Schizosaccharomyces pombe: one gene and its partner. The protein of the gene in region 1 interacts with the protein of each later gene in a pairwise test. Each region holds a gene or a part of one and is shown in the gene's direction. Other genes may lie near its edges. The genes, in order: cul3 and btb3.

Region 1 (3,929 bases):
CAGAGTTGTGCTTTAAGGACCAGTAATAATCCATATTAAATGACACGAGCCGAAGCATGGTAATGTTAAAAAGAACATACCAGCGCTCAAGAATCCCAGTATATTGATCCTGTAAAAAGATTAACATCTGATGGCTAAAGATAGCGTACCAAAAACCCTAGGCCTGGATGAAGGCTAGAAAATTTGCAATAGGCAAAATATTCTTTAAAAAACACCACTGATATATCTAATGTCCATGTCAAGAGTGGATTAAAAATACTGTTCTTTAGAGACTTAGAAATGAGATAATTGATCAATGCAATTGTTAAAACATATATAACGCCAGTCCCGTAGACAAGTAATGCAAACAGCAGGGAGAAGCAAAGTCGATAGTTGTTTTTTATAGCGAGTTCATCATTAGTATTTTTTGTGAAGACAAGCTTAACGAGTCTCCAGAGAAAATTATAGACAATAATTACAAGTAGTAAGATTGGCATATTTTCACGAAACGCGGAATACTGAAAATCAGCGGAATCGACTTTTTGTCCAAACAACCACCCAGGCTTTAAATATTTTTCAATGTTTTTGTAATTGGGATGTTTTGCTGACGCCTAGTTAGTTGCTTACTTTATTTCAAATTGATAAATAGAAAAGGCTGATTAAAGCTTTTGACACTTACGAGAACTAACATAATGAATTTTAAAACAAGCAATTGTTAGAATCGATAGAATGACAGAAAAGTAAAAAATAAATTCTATGGAACCAAAAGCGCTCTTTTCCGGAACTGCGCTTCGAACGGTCAAACGTGAAGATGAAGATGGATGACTTGAACCAGAAGTCGAACTTAACCGTGAACTTTTAGAATTGGGTCTTTCAGTATCTTTGGTCGAAGTCTCAAGAACATCAAATCGAAATAAACGTAACATCCTAGAAGTCTCCTACCAACAGCAAAGAAGATGGTCGGTTCTCAAAATATCATAGAGTAAACAAACCTAGTGGTGTTCACTAGCAAAATGCAAGACACTGCGTAATTTACACTTTGTGTCAGCTTCATAGTCCGTAAATAATTTTAAGAGTAAGGTAGAGAGAGTATGATGAAATCAATTATATTTTTAAAAATAATAAATTCAGTTTGTATTGTTTATTGGAATGAATAAAATAGTCAGCACTATACAAAACGCGCTATTAAAATAGAAATATTAATTAAGCATCTTTAAAGACTAAATTTTGATTTTGGTAAATTAGCAACTTATATATTGAAAAATGTTTTACATTCGTTTGCAATAATTCTGTATAGCCCATTTAGATCTCTAAAATCGTTAATTTTTATAATTAATTAATTAATTTATTTTTTTTTGGATATGATTTGCTCAATGATTGCTAAATTATCACATCTAGTCTAAAAATTCAAAAGATAATTTCAAGTTAACAAGCTCATATAATAATTAAATGTTCTATTAGAACGTCGTATATATTGACCAAAGTATTACAAAAATAAATAAAAATAATATATACTATAGAAATTAAAATAAACAATGACTATATCTTGCAATTTATATGCTCCTAAACCCAATTTGATCGCTCTCCTAGTTCATTTGGAAGAATTGGAAGAAGATGATTTTGCTGGTCGAATTTTAAATTGAGGGGGCTTAAATTCTACAACATTGCCATTGATTACTTGACCATAGCCTTTTTTAAAAGTTTCCCCTTTCTTAGCTAAAATGTCTTCAATCGTCACCCGTTCTTCAGAGAATATTTTTAAATGATCAGCCATCAAGTGCCGATTTTTGCACTTAGGACATTGAACTAAAACGGTCCCATTATGGTAGGCCTGCTTGGAGAAATTGTGATTTGACCTAGTGTTACATCTTTCATTTGGTTAGTATCCTTCAATGAAATTATAAATACTTACACGGTACAAGTAAAAGAAACATTATAAGTCGGTTTAGGTTGTAATTGATCAGCATCTGATTTTACAGAGGGAACACCACTTGCAAGATCTTTAGCATCGCTTTGAGTGAAGCGTTTGCATTGCCAATTAGAAATGTTTCTCACATTCGGGGAACAGAAAAGTAAACTTGAAACCTTTACCTTGTTTGAAAAATTTTTTAACTGCAAATTTCGTAAACAGAATTTTTGAGTATACCGTGCAAAGCTCCACATTATGTTTGAAAAATTTTTGTGTTCGGAGAATGTTGTTCGTAGTTAGTACCTTCTACCACCTTTTGTACCATTACTTCCGTCTGTGCTGGCGTTTCTTTATGCAAACTCATATGCCCATATATTTAGCTTTTTTGTTGAAACTTAACTTTAAATTCCATTATTAATGCAGCGGTCAGCGAAGTTAAAAATTCGAGCGCCACGAAAAGTAAGTGTACCTGATGCATGCTGTCCTTATTATTTTCCTCACATACTGACATTTAGTTTTCTGCTAACCAAGTAGACTTTGCTACACATTGGGAAGTCTTGCAGCGAGCTATTGGGGATATATTTCAGAAAAGCACATCTCAATTATCGTTTGAAGAGTTGTATAGAAATGCATATATACTTGTTCTACATAAGTATGGAGAAAAGCTTTATAATCATGTACAGGATGTTATTAGATCGAGGCTTAAAGAAGAAACTGTTCCAGCTATTTACAAAAACTATGACGCTTCCTTATTAGGGAATGCTCTATTGGATATTAGAAAAAATGATTCCTATTCTACTTCATGGTCGAGATCATTGGAAGCGGCTCATAGATTTTTATCGTCTTTAGTTAATTCCTGGAAGGATCACATTGTTTCAATGCAAATGATATCTAGTGTATTAAAATATTTGGACAAGGTTTATTCAAAATCTGCAGACAAAGTTCCTGTTAATGAAAACGGAATATATATCTTTCGTGAAGTTGTTTTGTTAAATAGTTTTGAAATTGGAGAGAAATGTGTCGAAACTATTCTAATTCTGGTTTATCTTGAACGTAAAGGGAATACAATAAATCGACCCTTAATAAATGACTGCTTAGATATGCTAAACTCTTTGCCTTCAGAAAACAAAAAGGAAACTCTTTATGATGTTTTATTTGCTCCAAAGTTTTTATCTTACACAAGAAATTTCTATGAAATAGAATCATCAACAGTCATCGGCGTATTTGGAGTTGTGGAGTATCTGAAAAAAGCAGAGAAAAGATTTGAGGAAGAAAAGGAGAGGTCCAAGAATTACCTGTTCACAAAAATAGCTAGCCCCCTTCTATCCGTTGTTGAAGATGAGCTTTTGAGTAAACATTTGGACGATTTGCTTGAAAATCAATCAACTGGCTTTTTCTCGATGATCGACTCTTCAAACTTCGAGGGTCTTCAATTGGTTTACGAAAGCTTTTCTAGAGTGGAACTTGGCGTGAAGTCTTTAAAAAAATACTTGGCGAAATATGTAGCGCATCATGGAAAATTAATCAATGAAACTACTAGCCAAGCGCTTGAAGGAAAGATGGCTGTTGGTCGTCTATCATCTAATGCTACAATGGCAACATTATGGGTTCAAAAAGTTTTGGCCTTATGGGATAGACTAAATACAATTATAAGTACTACTATGGATGCTGATCGGTCTATCTTGAACTCTTTATCAGATGCTTTTGTTACGTTCGTAGACGGATATACCCGAGCCCCCGAGTACATTTCACTATTCATTGATGACAATCTGAAAAAAGATGCTAGAAAAGCAATAGAAGGCTCTATTGAAGCAACACTTCAAAATTCTGTTACGTTATTTCGGTTTATTTCAGAAAAAGATGTTTTTGAAAAATATTACAAAACACACCTTGCAAAAAGGTATGCTTTAATTGTTTTTACTGTCTTTAACACTTTTAGGTTGTTGAATAATCGATCAATATCTTCCGATGCAGAGCTCGGAATGATCAGTAGGCTGAAACAAGAAGCTGGTAATGTTTTTACTCAAAAGCTCGAAGGAAT
Region 2 (3,929 bases), 1.8 Mb from region 1:
CTGGTATGATATTGGAGGTCCTACTGTATCCACGTAAATCTCTGTAACATTTATTCCTGATTCATAAACTTTTTTTATTAAGTCAATTGTCGTATCATGTGCTTGAAGATTTAAATTATACTTGTTCCGGTACCTCAGCATTCCTGCAGCTAATTCTCTTGCGGAAATAGACATAGTAGACCATCCAACGTTTTTTCCTAGCTCGTTAGATTTGTTGCAAATTAATTTCAGAAGTTCCTCTCGCTTTAAGGAGGCCAAAGTTTTACTGTCAGCAAACCCATAGTTGGTCAAATCGAAATCGACTGGACAGTAAGCGACAGCATATACCATAGGTCCTAAGACAGGGCCTCTACCAGCTTCATCTACTCCTAATCGATATGGCTGACTCTTGGAAATATCATCAGTGACTGTTGAATGATAGTAATTCGATTTTGCGGGATTCGATTTATTAACTGAAGGTGGTAAAAAAGTTATTGAAGAATTTTGGTCTTCTTGTAGCTCATTTTCTGAAGAGTTATTGTCACTGACTAGTTCTTCTGGTTCCCATGCATCGTGATCATCTTTCATGTTGAGATTGCTGCTTTGTATCTTTTAAAGAATTATCAGAGTACTTCTAATATTTGGCTCAAAAACTGAATAAAAAAATAAATAAAGGGGTTGAAGGAATGCGCAAATAGGCCTAACACAGTTTTCTTTCGTTCGTGGTTTTAATTAGCGGTACTACGGTAAAACGATGTAAATAAAAAAAAAAGAAAAGCCAGACAAACAATTCATTACAGTTATAATGCTTTCTTTGATTGAGTAAAAATATTTTAATTGAGAAATGACTAAACTAAATGATTTACTTTTTAGACTTTCATTTTTTTAGAAAATTGTTCATTATCTTAAGCGAGTCATCTCCTAGCAATCGAAGCCTGCATACAAGATTTAACAAAAAAAAAGGAAATCATTAACATGGAACCTTGTAAAACGAATAACAACATCAAAGACCTTCTAAAATATCTTCTGGAGGGAAGTCTCCTACTTCAACTTCAGAAGATCGAAGAAAGGATCCATGTTTATTTTTCGCATTAAAGTATCTCTTTCCGCTGACTGTCCCATCATTTTTCCCAACTGGTTCATCAAATTCGACGCCAACCCACAGATTGTCATTATTAATTTCAGGCACTAGTCCAATATAGCGAATAGTTCCATATCTCTCTCCTGCTGCACAGCACCTAGAATTTAAATTTTTTTGTAAGTCGACTAATTCACGTTTTAAAGATTCTTGTCGAGAAGCTTTACTTGCTTCAAAGTCTGGATTGAATCGTCCAAGCTGATTTCTTTTTTTCCAGGCATAGACAGAATCTGTCCTGTTCTCATACTGTTCACGAGGCATTACATATTTATCAACCTGTGAAAGATCGTCAAAGTCTAGACGCAAATGAGGAGGGCGTGTATCCTCAACGACTATAGTCCCCAGAGGCTGAAGCTTGAATTCCCCTAGGTCTAAATTCTCTTCTTCGCTAGTGAAAACGTGTCCAGGGACTGTACTGGAAGCAGGTTCATACGTAAGTTTTTGGTATTGTTCTGGTGTCCCTACGATAGGAACTAATTTGGTCTTAAGCTGACTAACAGTCCATTGTGGGTTAATCCTTCGTTCAGCATTTGCAGAGGAAGATTTAATAAAGAGAGTTATCTCATTCATGTAGCAAATAATTTTAACTTAAGATATATGATTAATGAAAACGGAAAACACAAGAATATATAAAGTGGTGGAAGACGTAGTAGTTAAATGCTGACGCCGCCTTGGTCAGTCGTTCACAAATCACATCGAACTTGAACAATTACATAGAACCCTCGTTAACCAACTACATTTCGCATATGATCAATTAAATTTTAAGTCGATAATACTGTTGAACATAAGTGCAATCTTTGCTCAGTATAACCTTTTAATCGGTTGTTAATTGTTCTTCATTTATTAAAATGGCTTCTCAAGATCAAAATACAGGGACAACACATGTCGAATTGCAAGGTGGTGAAAATTCTAAAAAGCTTTTCTCCAAGTATGACCTTTGGTCAAAGGCAATGGATGAGAAGAAGCTGTCTTCCTCACTTTTCACAGTAAATGATACCCAAGAATTTCTTGAGCTTTGTGAAGCTTGTCGGCGTGGAGATTTGGAAGTTGTCAAGAGGTATGTGCAATTTAAAAATATTGAATCGATAAACAATTTTAACTGCAATTGCTAAATTCAAAATCCAGTTTGGTCGAAAACTATAACACACCTATTAATCAAGTAGACCAATTTGACTACTCGCCTTTAGTCCTTGCGAGTCTTTGCGGGCATGAACCAGGTATGCTATGAATGTTTTGCTCTCAATTATTATATTTTCTCACGCTTAAGTTGTAAAATTTCTTCTTGAAAATGGTGCTTTATGCGAACGAGATACTTTTCAAGGAGAAAGATGTTTGTATGGTGCCCTTAATGATAATATTCGCCGTATGCTTCTTTCTTATGATATTACTAAAGCCATTGATGAGTCCCAACCTTATGCTAGTCACATAACTTCCTTGTTGTCGAACTCGGCTTTACATTTTACTACTGACATAGTCTTTGCCGGTCAATATGGTAGGGTTTTTGCTCATAAATTCTATTTAGCTGCCAGAAGTTCATATTTTAAATCAAAATTTTCGAAATTGGGACCCAGTGAACATGAAATTGAAGTCAAACATTTTGCTAAAGAGTTTGAATCAATTTTGCGATATCTCTACTTAGACACAAATGCTGTTTTCACCAAACAGTATAACAATGCTCTTCTGAGTATTGGAAAAAAATTCCAGTTAAACGATTTTATCGCATTGTATGAAAAAGATCGCGAGCAGTTACACTCTAGAGATTGGAAGAAAATCCAGTTGGCAAAAACTCAAAATGATCTAGGAGAATTTTTGGATTATATAATCTCTAACTACAAAGTACCCATTGAATCTCTTAACCAACCTTCCGATCAGTATTCGTTTCACGATGCTTACTTGCAATCTTATACACACCGCTATCCCGTCCATCGTGCCATCATGTGCAGATGTGAATATTTTTTGGACATGTTAGCAGGACCATTTTTGGAAAGCAATCAAGAACTACCGGTTTTGTCTTTACCTTTTTCAAGTTCTGTTGTTGAAATTGTATTGAAGTTTTTATATACCGACAAAACTGATATAGCGCCGGAATTAGCTTTAGATGTAGTTTACGTTGCAGACATGTTGTCGTTAGATAAAGATAGAAGCTTGAAATCTTTAGCTTCTATAGTTATTACTAAACAAGAAGAGCCTATAGATAGTATTTACGATATTCTACGAACAGCTTGGGATACGTCTACGCCTCGCCTGGAGCAATACGCTTCCGAATATATGGCAAATCATTTGGAGCACTTGATTGACGATCCTGAATTCTGTGAATTAGTCAAAGAAAGTGCTGATCGAATTTTACAGAGACAAGAAACAGACACGATCGAACTCATTGATGATATTCGTTATTTCCTCTCAAAACGTTTTGGCATTTACCATGAGGATTTGTGCATTGATGGAGTTGTAGATACATTAACACCTTATGAAAGCGAATATAATCAAAAAATGGAGATGATTGACGATTTACTAGATAAACTGGAGCTACAAGCTTAATGGCAATGGTAGAAAAAATAATATTTCTTGAACACTTCAACTGTTTAAATTAATCATTATTAAAATTCAAATTCATAGAAAAGGCTTTATCTCAGTTTGCGCATTGCAAAATAAAGTAACGGGATACTTTTAGTACCATCACCGTTTTTTTTGTGTTACTGGTAGCTGTAATTTGTTTTAGTTGTTGCTTTAAATGATAAAGAATAATGAAATCCTTAATTTTGAACCATGGCAATAAACAAAGGAATGGAAATTATTTTCAATCTCTAATTTC

The links.
Region 2: the proteins of cul3 (region 1) and btb3 interact in binary tests that used the Schizosaccharomyces pombe proteins (3 or more experiments, as listed by UniProt).

The regions. Positions count from the first base shown.
Region 1 is NC_003424.3:486,992-490,920, reverse strand, and holds the start of cul3 (cullin 3), read left to right. Parts: upstream 1-2,206; 5' UTR 2,207-2,305; coding exon 2,306-2,347; intron 2,348-2,403; coding exon 2,404-3,788; intron 3,789-3,827; coding exon 3,828-3,929. Other genes in the region: gup1 (MBOAT family O-acyltransferase), read right to left, coding at 1-109, 150-583, 659-905; TIM23 translocase complex subunit Tim15, read right to left, coding at 1,571-1,847, 1,892-2,142. UniProt on the Schizosaccharomyces pombe protein: Probable core component of multiple cullin-RING-based BC3B (BTB-CUL3-BTB) E3 ubiquitin-protein ligase complexes which mediate the ubiquitination and subsequent proteasomal degradation of target proteins.
Region 2 is NC_003424.3:2,251,226-2,255,154, reverse strand, and holds btb3 (ubiquitin ligase Btb3), read left to right. Parts: upstream 1-1,802; 5' UTR 1,803-1,965; coding exon 1,966-2,174; intron 2,175-2,242; coding exon 2,243-2,334; intron 2,335-2,384; coding exon 2,385-3,655; 3' UTR 3,656-3,713; downstream 3,714-3,929. Other genes in the region: ribonuclease H2 complex subunit Rnh201, read right to left, coding at 1-567; alp11 (tubulin-specific chaperone cofactor B), read right to left, coding at 983-1,687. UniProt on the Schizosaccharomyces pombe protein: Probable substrate-specific adapter of an E3 ubiquitin-protein ligase complex which mediates the ubiquitination and subsequent proteasomal degradation of target proteins.